2 linked regions of the Canis lupus familiaris genome follow. The protein of the gene in region 1 interacts with the protein of each later gene in a pairwise test. Links are inferred from orthologs where the notes say so. Each region holds a gene or a part of one and is shown in the gene's direction. Other genes may lie near its edges.

Region 1 (3,646 bases):
AAATCCACAGGGTGAAATAGAGAGGACCAAATGACACCTGCACAGGCCAGAGTTTGCATTACAAGAGAAGGACCTTGAGCTTGGGAACCCAAACCATTCATAAGGGGCAGTAAGCAGTGATCCATTTACTAGGGCAGGGAAGACTGGAAGAAGTACAGGTAGGATGTGGTTATTGCACATGGTTCTGGAGCTCTGCTTTGGGACAGTTACATTTAAGATGCTTATCATACAAAAAAAAAAAAAGATGCTTATCATACAACCAAGTGGAGATGTTGAGTAGGTAGCAGGATGTATGCACTGGATCCAAGAGAGAAGCAAGGACTCGACATGTAAATTTGGAAGATGGCACTGTCAAGATAGTATTTGAAATAGAATCATCTAAGAAGTTTCATTATACTTAATGGGAAAGACACTAGACCTGTTCCCCTTAAAAGGAAGAACAAGAGAACAGTTCTTATTTACATTAACAACAGAAATGTTATGTTAGTAAGAACTTTCTAGGTCCTTGCCCTCAATTGTAGGATAGAGAAAAAGGGAAAAGACTATTACTTTTGGCAAATGTGCAGTAATTACCTAGAAAATCAAAGGAAATTAATACAGATAATAAATGAAGGCGGTACAATGCAGGACAGAATATAAAGCCACAAAAATAAACTAAACCCCTATATATTCACAGAATATAGTTTTAAAATGCACCATTCTCTCACTCATGCTGTTGCCCCTACCCTGACCCCACTTCCTCTAACATCCACTAGGTCTCAGTGTTGACTTCCCTTTCCCCAGGAAAAGGAGAAGACAATGTCTTCCCGAGAAGACAATGAACAGTAATAAGCATTAGTTGTTGAATGCTTTTCATTTGGCACCATGCCTAGGTCTTTGCCTATATGATTCGGTCTTTACAACAGGGAAAATGCATGAGCATCCTTGCTTTTCAAATGCAGAAACTGAGGCTGGGCAAGGTAAAGTCCCTCACCAGAGGTATCACGTGGAGGCAGGCAGTGGTCAGTGCAGAGGCTCTGTACATAAGGTTCCAGTATCTGTTCAGATGATCACTTTCTTATCCCCGAGCTGCCAAATCTCAGGAATGAGGGGTGTACTCAGTGGAAACCATGGTTACAGACCGCCTGCTCTGTGTTCAGTGCCTGGTGCAGATACACACATCATCTCAGTTACTCCTCACCAACGCTCTGCAAGGCCCCTACTTAAAAGGGGAGAAAACTAGAGGCCAGTGGGCCAGCCAGATGAGCCTCCCTTTCTGGCCTCTATGAAGAGTGGTCCTTATGTCCTTAGAAGTAGAGATTCAGATTCAGATTCCACAGGCCTGGCATGGGACAAGCCTTCCCAGGTGATTTCCAGATGATTCTGATAGGCACCCAGGATTGAGAATCACCACTCTAAATAAGGCTCTTTCTATCCAAACTTTCTCTCTGCAGGTACTACCCAAGTGGAGATGCCTTTGCTTCAGGATCAGATGATGCTACGGTATGTTTCTATGTTATGACAGCTTATCCTATTCCAAGAGAGAAGCAGGGGTGCCTGGGTGGCTCAATCAGTTAAGCATCTGCCTTCGGCTCAGGTCATGATCCTGGATCCTGGGATCCTGGGATCCTGGGTTTGAGGCTCCTGGCTCAGCACTGTGCCTGCTACTCCCTCTTCCCCCATTTGTACTCTTTTGCATGTGTGCTCTCTCTCTCTCTCTCTAAAATAAATAATTTTTTTAAAAAAAAGAGATATGCAATGATCTAATTTTATTTTTCAAAATTAATGTTTTTTTTTATTATAGTAATAAAGTGAATTCATTTAGGCAAATGGTAGGGGATTAAAATACCTTAACCTCCCAACCCAAGAAAATCACAGTTGGGTGAATTCCTTTGTGTCTTTTTAATTTTTAAACAAAATGCTTTATAATTTGCTTTTGTCACTTAGCAATTGATTGTGAACATTTTCCTATGCCAATGTAGCCAATCTACATTGTATTTTCTTAGTGATTGAATAGTATTTCATGTTATGGAAATGCTGTTATGTACTTAACTAGTCAATTTTTAGACACTTGGGTTTTTCTAACTGTTAAGTGTTCAGATGATCACTTTCTTATCCCCGAGCTGCCAAATCTCAGGAATGAGGGGTGTACTCAGTGGAAACCATGGTTACAGACCGCATACAGTATAATTAATACTTTTGGAACTTATTTCTCCCATATCTCATCTGCCCTACATGTTCCTTTTGCTGTACCTCTATAGGCAGCCTGGGGAAAGTGGTTGGCTCAGGATTTGACGGAGGGAAGACAAATAAACTGAATTAATAAGATCTTTTTTAAAAATGAAAATGAAAATGTAAAACTTCCATATGTCAAAAAATGTATAACAAAATATAAAGGCATACATCTATGAAAAATTTTTGCCATCTATATGACCAAATTGAAATCCTTTAGATATGAATGGAGTTGGATAATCAATAAGATAAACACCCCAATTTTTAAAAAGGGGATAAAATGTAGACTTTTTACAACATGGGAGATCCAAAATGGCAAATCAACACCTGAAAAACATTTTCAGACCATCAGACCACCCATATTCCAATAAATGCAAGTTTAAGTGATAACTGCTCATTTAGATTAGCAGTGAAATGCTGCATTGTGGAGGTGATGTGGTCAAAGAGCTTGGAGTTAGGCCCATTGGTACCATTCTTTTGGAAAACAGTTTTGCCATATGATCCAAGAGCTTTCAAAACATCCCTATTCTTTGATCTGGCCATACTATTTCTTGAAACAGTTTTATTCTGCGGATTCTATTCCTTAACTATTCTAAGGAAAACATCAGAGATATGCATAAAGATATTTACCTAAGAATGGTCCCCCAAATTTTAGTTATAAAGGAGAAAAATTAGACATAATTAAAACTCTTAACAGGGTATGGTTAAACAGATTCTGATATATCCACATAAGAAATATTCAGCAACCATGTTAGTCATGTCTTTTTGAAGATTAATGAGAAAAATGCTCATAACCTGATGTTAATAGAAGTGATAAGGAAATACCCACTCCATTTAAATATATGCATGAAATGGAAGTAGACTGAAGGAAATAGCCTCGATGTGTAAGTAAATACCTCTAGGATTTGGGGTGATTTTTATTTAGGCATTTCTGAGTTTTTCTGAATTTTCTACTATGAGTATGTATCCTTTATCAGAAAAAAAGAGGTTTCATTTTCGGTTTTGATTCCTCTCCCAAATCTTCTGTATTTGCTGTTTCTTTGAATCTCCACTGATCCATGCCAATTAATAGGAATTGGAAGAAAATACTAGAGGAAGAAACCAGAGGTATTTCCCTCATCCTCCAACTACACAAGCCATAGGCACCTGCCTCTAGCCCTGTGGCCCTCTCTTCACCAACCTGGAGCCAGAATTAAGTGTTCCTTTATCTTCTCTGTCACCCCAGTGTCGTCTCTATGACCTCCGGGCAGACAGAGAGGTTGCCATCTATTCCAAAGAGAGTATCATATTTGGAGCATCCAGTGTGGACTTCTCCCTCAGTGGTAAGATTTTCTTTTAGAAGCTTCCCTGGGGCTGTAAGACAGGATATAAATGAAACCCAGCTTTCCATCAAGCTTTCCCTCAGCTGAACTTCCTGGGAGCCAATGTGTTAAGC
Region 2 (3,758 bases), on another chromosome or scaffold:
TCTTAGTTCCCAGTGCCAAAGTCGGCTGAACTTGTCTGTTGGACACGTGATTCTGGGACAGGCCACCTTGATCTCGCAGCAAAGCATCCCACTCGGGGGATGAGCACCTTAGGAGGCCGCCGAGTCCGCACCGCGAGGTGGTGCCCCGAGGGCACGCGGGACTTGCCTGGGGTCGTGCGGCCGCACTCAGAGACACCCCTCCCGAGTGATCTCCTCGCCGCCCAGAGCCCCCACCGGCCGCGCCAACAGCGCTGGCCGCTCGCCGGCCGCCGCCCATCCGCACTCACCAGTACGCAGGCAGCGGGAGCAACGGCAAAGGCACTTCCGCCTCCCGTGAAGCCCCGCCCCTTCCGCCGGCCGCCCCGGGGGCGCGGGGCGGGGGGCGGGGCCACTCCCGGGGCGGGGCCTGTCGGGCCGCGGGCTTCCCTCCTCCGCCAGGCGCGTGCGGTCTCTCCCCGCGGCCCGGTTCGCAGACCCCAGGGGACAGGCGAGGCCAAGACGTGACCCAGGGTGTGCTGTGAGTCAGCAGCATCCCCCTGGGCGCGCCCTCGAGGCCGCAATCCCCGCCCTCGGCCCACACCTTCACCCGCAAAGGGGAAGGGGGCGGGTATCCAGCTGGCGCTGATTTTTATCGCCCACAGCCCCTGGGACCTGTAGGCGTCCAAGGCAGGGCCCCTATCACAAGAGTGACAGCATTTCAGCTCCGTGTTTTGTCTCCAGCGCTTAGGATGTGATCCACCACCTCTGACCCTAACTGGACTCTCCCTCAGAATCCCCGCAGCGCGTTATGGACACTAGACCTTGGCAGAGGGTACCTTCTATTGTGTATATGACTCTTCATGCCATATAAGAGCCCTCAGAGCGTCAGGTTAACATTATGTACATCTTTGCATTTCAACAGCACCAAGCACAACGCTGCATGCCTGGGGGGTAATCTCTCAAACCGATACCCACCCTCCAAAACCCACCCAAGGAAGCCCATCTGTTTCAACGCCCAGTGACTTTCCCCGAAACCACAGTGCCCCCTACCTCTTCTTTGTCCGATTCTTTGATCTGGTATCTGCACGGCTCTTTTCCCCCAGCTTCTCCTCCTCCTTGTTCTTTAGGCATCTTCCTGATGCACCTTGTTGCCCCTTGATCTTCCACTCGAGCCACTTGTGGCTAGAACACGAAGTGCTTGGTGATCTAGAAGCTGATACCTGTAACTCATCACATTTTCCTAGATACAGAGAATGGAGGGTCCCTGGGAAAGAAAAGAAGATTCAGGTACTACATGCTATGTCAGAGGAGGGAGGAGGGAAAAGGGGGGCGACTGCCCAGCTGATGTCAGATTTTCAAATGAGCAGAGTCCCCCGCAGCCAGTACAGACTCCACTGCAGGCGATGTCACAGGTCCAGACCACCCCATTTAAGGGGGGAGTCAGCCTGGCCTTCAACTACTTCCAGCTCCTTCAGCTCCTTCCTAGCCCAGACTCAGAATGCTTGCAATGGGGGAAGGGCAGCTAGTGAGACAGTTCACAGTAGGGGGTGTGTACAGGGGCCGCAGTCAGCAGCCAGGCTCCCCCACTGGCCAGGCAGTTGGTATGTTCCAGGATCTGAGCAGCTTCTTCTAGCATCCTTCATCCTTCAGGTACCAGCGTCTGGGCAGTGCTTGAGCTGCAGGAACTGGGCCCAGCCCTCAACAGAACTCTGACCTGACCTCCCCAGTGGACTTCTCTGTATTAGCTCCTTCTGCTGCAGCAGCAAATACTTTCAACTGCAACTCCCTGCAGGTGGGGCACCCACCCATCTCGGGGCAGGCTTTGTGCACCCCACTGACTACTCCCCAGGGCTACCACTGCCGGTGCCTGCAGGTGAGTAGGGAGTATCCTGTTTTTCTCCCCCTGGGTCTCAAGGAGGCAGGTGGGGGTCATGTGTCCTCATCAGGGTGGGGCTCTTTCTGGTTGAGGCTTTCAGGGCTGGGAACACACAAGGCTGGAAAGGCTGAAAAGCCTTAAATCATTATGTCTAATGATCTGTGGGCCCAGGCCGTGTGTGAGTATGGAGGGCATTTCATCCCACTCTCTCCATTTCCTTAGCCCAGGAAGACAGGGATGGGAAAGGCCACTGGAAGATGAAGATAAGAGGAACAAAATATTGGGGCAGCCTTGTAAAGACTGATGAAAAATGAACATGGAGGGGGGTCTTCAGATGAGATTATGCAGCTCCTCACCTCCCACATCATACTCTGAGCTATTCCTTTCTTTTCTCTAGGATGAAAGGGGAGACCCCCGTGAACAGCACTATGAGTATTGGGCAAGCCCGCAAGATGGTGGAACAGCTTAAGATTGAAGCCAGCTTGTGCCGGATAAAGGTGGGCGGATCCTGGGTCCCCTCAGTTGGCCCAGTTGTGCTCTAGGTCCCCAAATCTCAGGTTAAGAGACGATTTCTTTCCTTGAGTCCCTGCGATCAGGGGAGGAGTCTCTGGCTCTGTGGGACAGTCCCTCTGAGGGGGATGAGGGAAGAGAATACTGTCCTAAGAAGCCCTAGAGATGGCAAAAAGATAACCCATTTGGGGAGGCAGGCTGCAGGCCCTCTCAGGGGATCTGGCTAACAACTCCCCTCCTGGCTGTGCCCCAGGTGTCCAAGGCAGCAGCCGACTTGATGACTTACTGTGATGCCCACGCCTGCGAGGATCCCCTCATCACCCCGGTGCCCACTTCGGAGAACCCCTTCCGGGAGAAGAAGTTCTTCTGTGCCCTCCTCTGAGTTGCCCTGTCCCTCCACACAAGCTCCTCACCTGTCCCTCTCCTGGGCCCTCCCTTAGGTTAGTAACTGTCGTGAGTCCCTGAGGGTCCCCGCATCCCACCCCTAGCCCTGTCCGACCCTGTGAGGTTGTCCGAAGCACAAGGCTCTCCATCACCGATCTGTCGACCCCGAGAACCCCCTGACCCAGGGACCCCTTAGTTCTATCCCCAGAAGGGCCGCCAGACTCTGCCAGCGTCCTGCCTGCAGGCTTCTCTGTGACCCGCTCAGACAATGGAGAGAGGCGCGGGCCGGGTGCTGGCTCCCAGTCTCACCTGGAGCTATGAGAAGGGTAAAGCCATTTGAAGAATAAAGGTATCCAGAGTCTCAGAAGACAGCTCCTGTGGTAGCCTTCTTGGGGAGAGGATCATCAGTCTGTGGATCTGGGAATGTGTGCGGCAGGTGAAAGACTTGCCATTCCCCGGGAAAAGGGCGGTCAAACCAGGCTAGACATCGCCTAGGATGGGAGATCGCCGGGACTGGGGAGACGGCGGGCGCGAGAGAGCCTCAAGTGGGAGAATTAAGTCACGACACCCAGAAGCTGCGGAGAGCAGTCACACACACACACGCACACGCGCGCGCGAGAGCACTGAACACAAGTGAAAATGAAAACAGACCGAACAGGATGGATTTAGGGAGGGCAGTCGCAGACCGCAGGAACTCAGGAACCCAGGGGAGGAGCTCGGCTCTGGTTCCTGCGAAGGGGCCGGTTTTACTTCTAAGATGGCAGCGCCCACAGCGTGCCCCTTTCCAAGATGGCCGTCGCCATAGGACGCGCGCCAATATGGCAGCCGCGCGTCACTGGGTTTCACCGTACAGGGCGTCCCAGCTAGCCCCATACGTAAAATGGCGGCCCCAGGCAGCCAGAGTCAGTGCGGTCCCATCTGTGCTCATCTGGTCTCAAAATGGCTGCCCCTGCCCTCGCCAACTTGATGCCCATTCCTATGCGGCCCAGAGTCTGGAAGCCGACGTCCC

Evidence for each region. The genes of interacting proteins can lie anywhere in the genome.
Region 2: the proteins of GNB5 (region 1) and GNG3 interact in a two-hybrid assay, tested with the Homo sapiens proteins (2 studies listed by BioGRID, with this or other methods). The link is inferred for Canis lupus familiaris from reciprocal best matches to the Homo sapiens genes GNB5 and GNG3.

What each region holds. Positions count from the first base shown.
Region 1 is NC_049251.1:18,132,317-18,135,962, reverse strand, and holds part of GNB5 (guanine nucleotide-binding protein subunit beta-5), read left to right. Parts: intron 1-1,433; coding exon 1,434-1,482; intron 1,483-3,436; coding exon 3,437-3,533; intron 3,534-3,646. UniProt on the Homo sapiens protein: Enhances GTPase-activating protein (GAP) activity of regulator of G protein signaling (RGS) proteins, such as RGS7 and RGS9, hence involved in the termination of the signaling initiated by the G protein coupled receptors (GPCRs) by accelerating the GTP hydrolysis on the G-alpha subunits, thereby promoting their inactivation.
Region 2 is NC_049239.1:54,477,364-54,481,121, reverse strand, and holds GNG3 (guanine nucleotide-binding protein G(I)/G(S)/G(O) subunit gamma-3), read left to right. Parts: upstream 1-1,386; 5' UTR 1,387-1,852; intron 1,853-2,252; 5' UTR 2,253-2,253; coding exon 2,254-2,352; intron 2,353-2,618; coding exon 2,619-2,747; 3' UTR 2,748-3,120; downstream 3,121-3,758. Other genes in the region: BSCL2 (seipin), read right to left, coding at 288-532. UniProt on the Homo sapiens protein: Guanine nucleotide-binding proteins (G proteins) are involved as a modulator or transducer in various transmembrane signaling systems.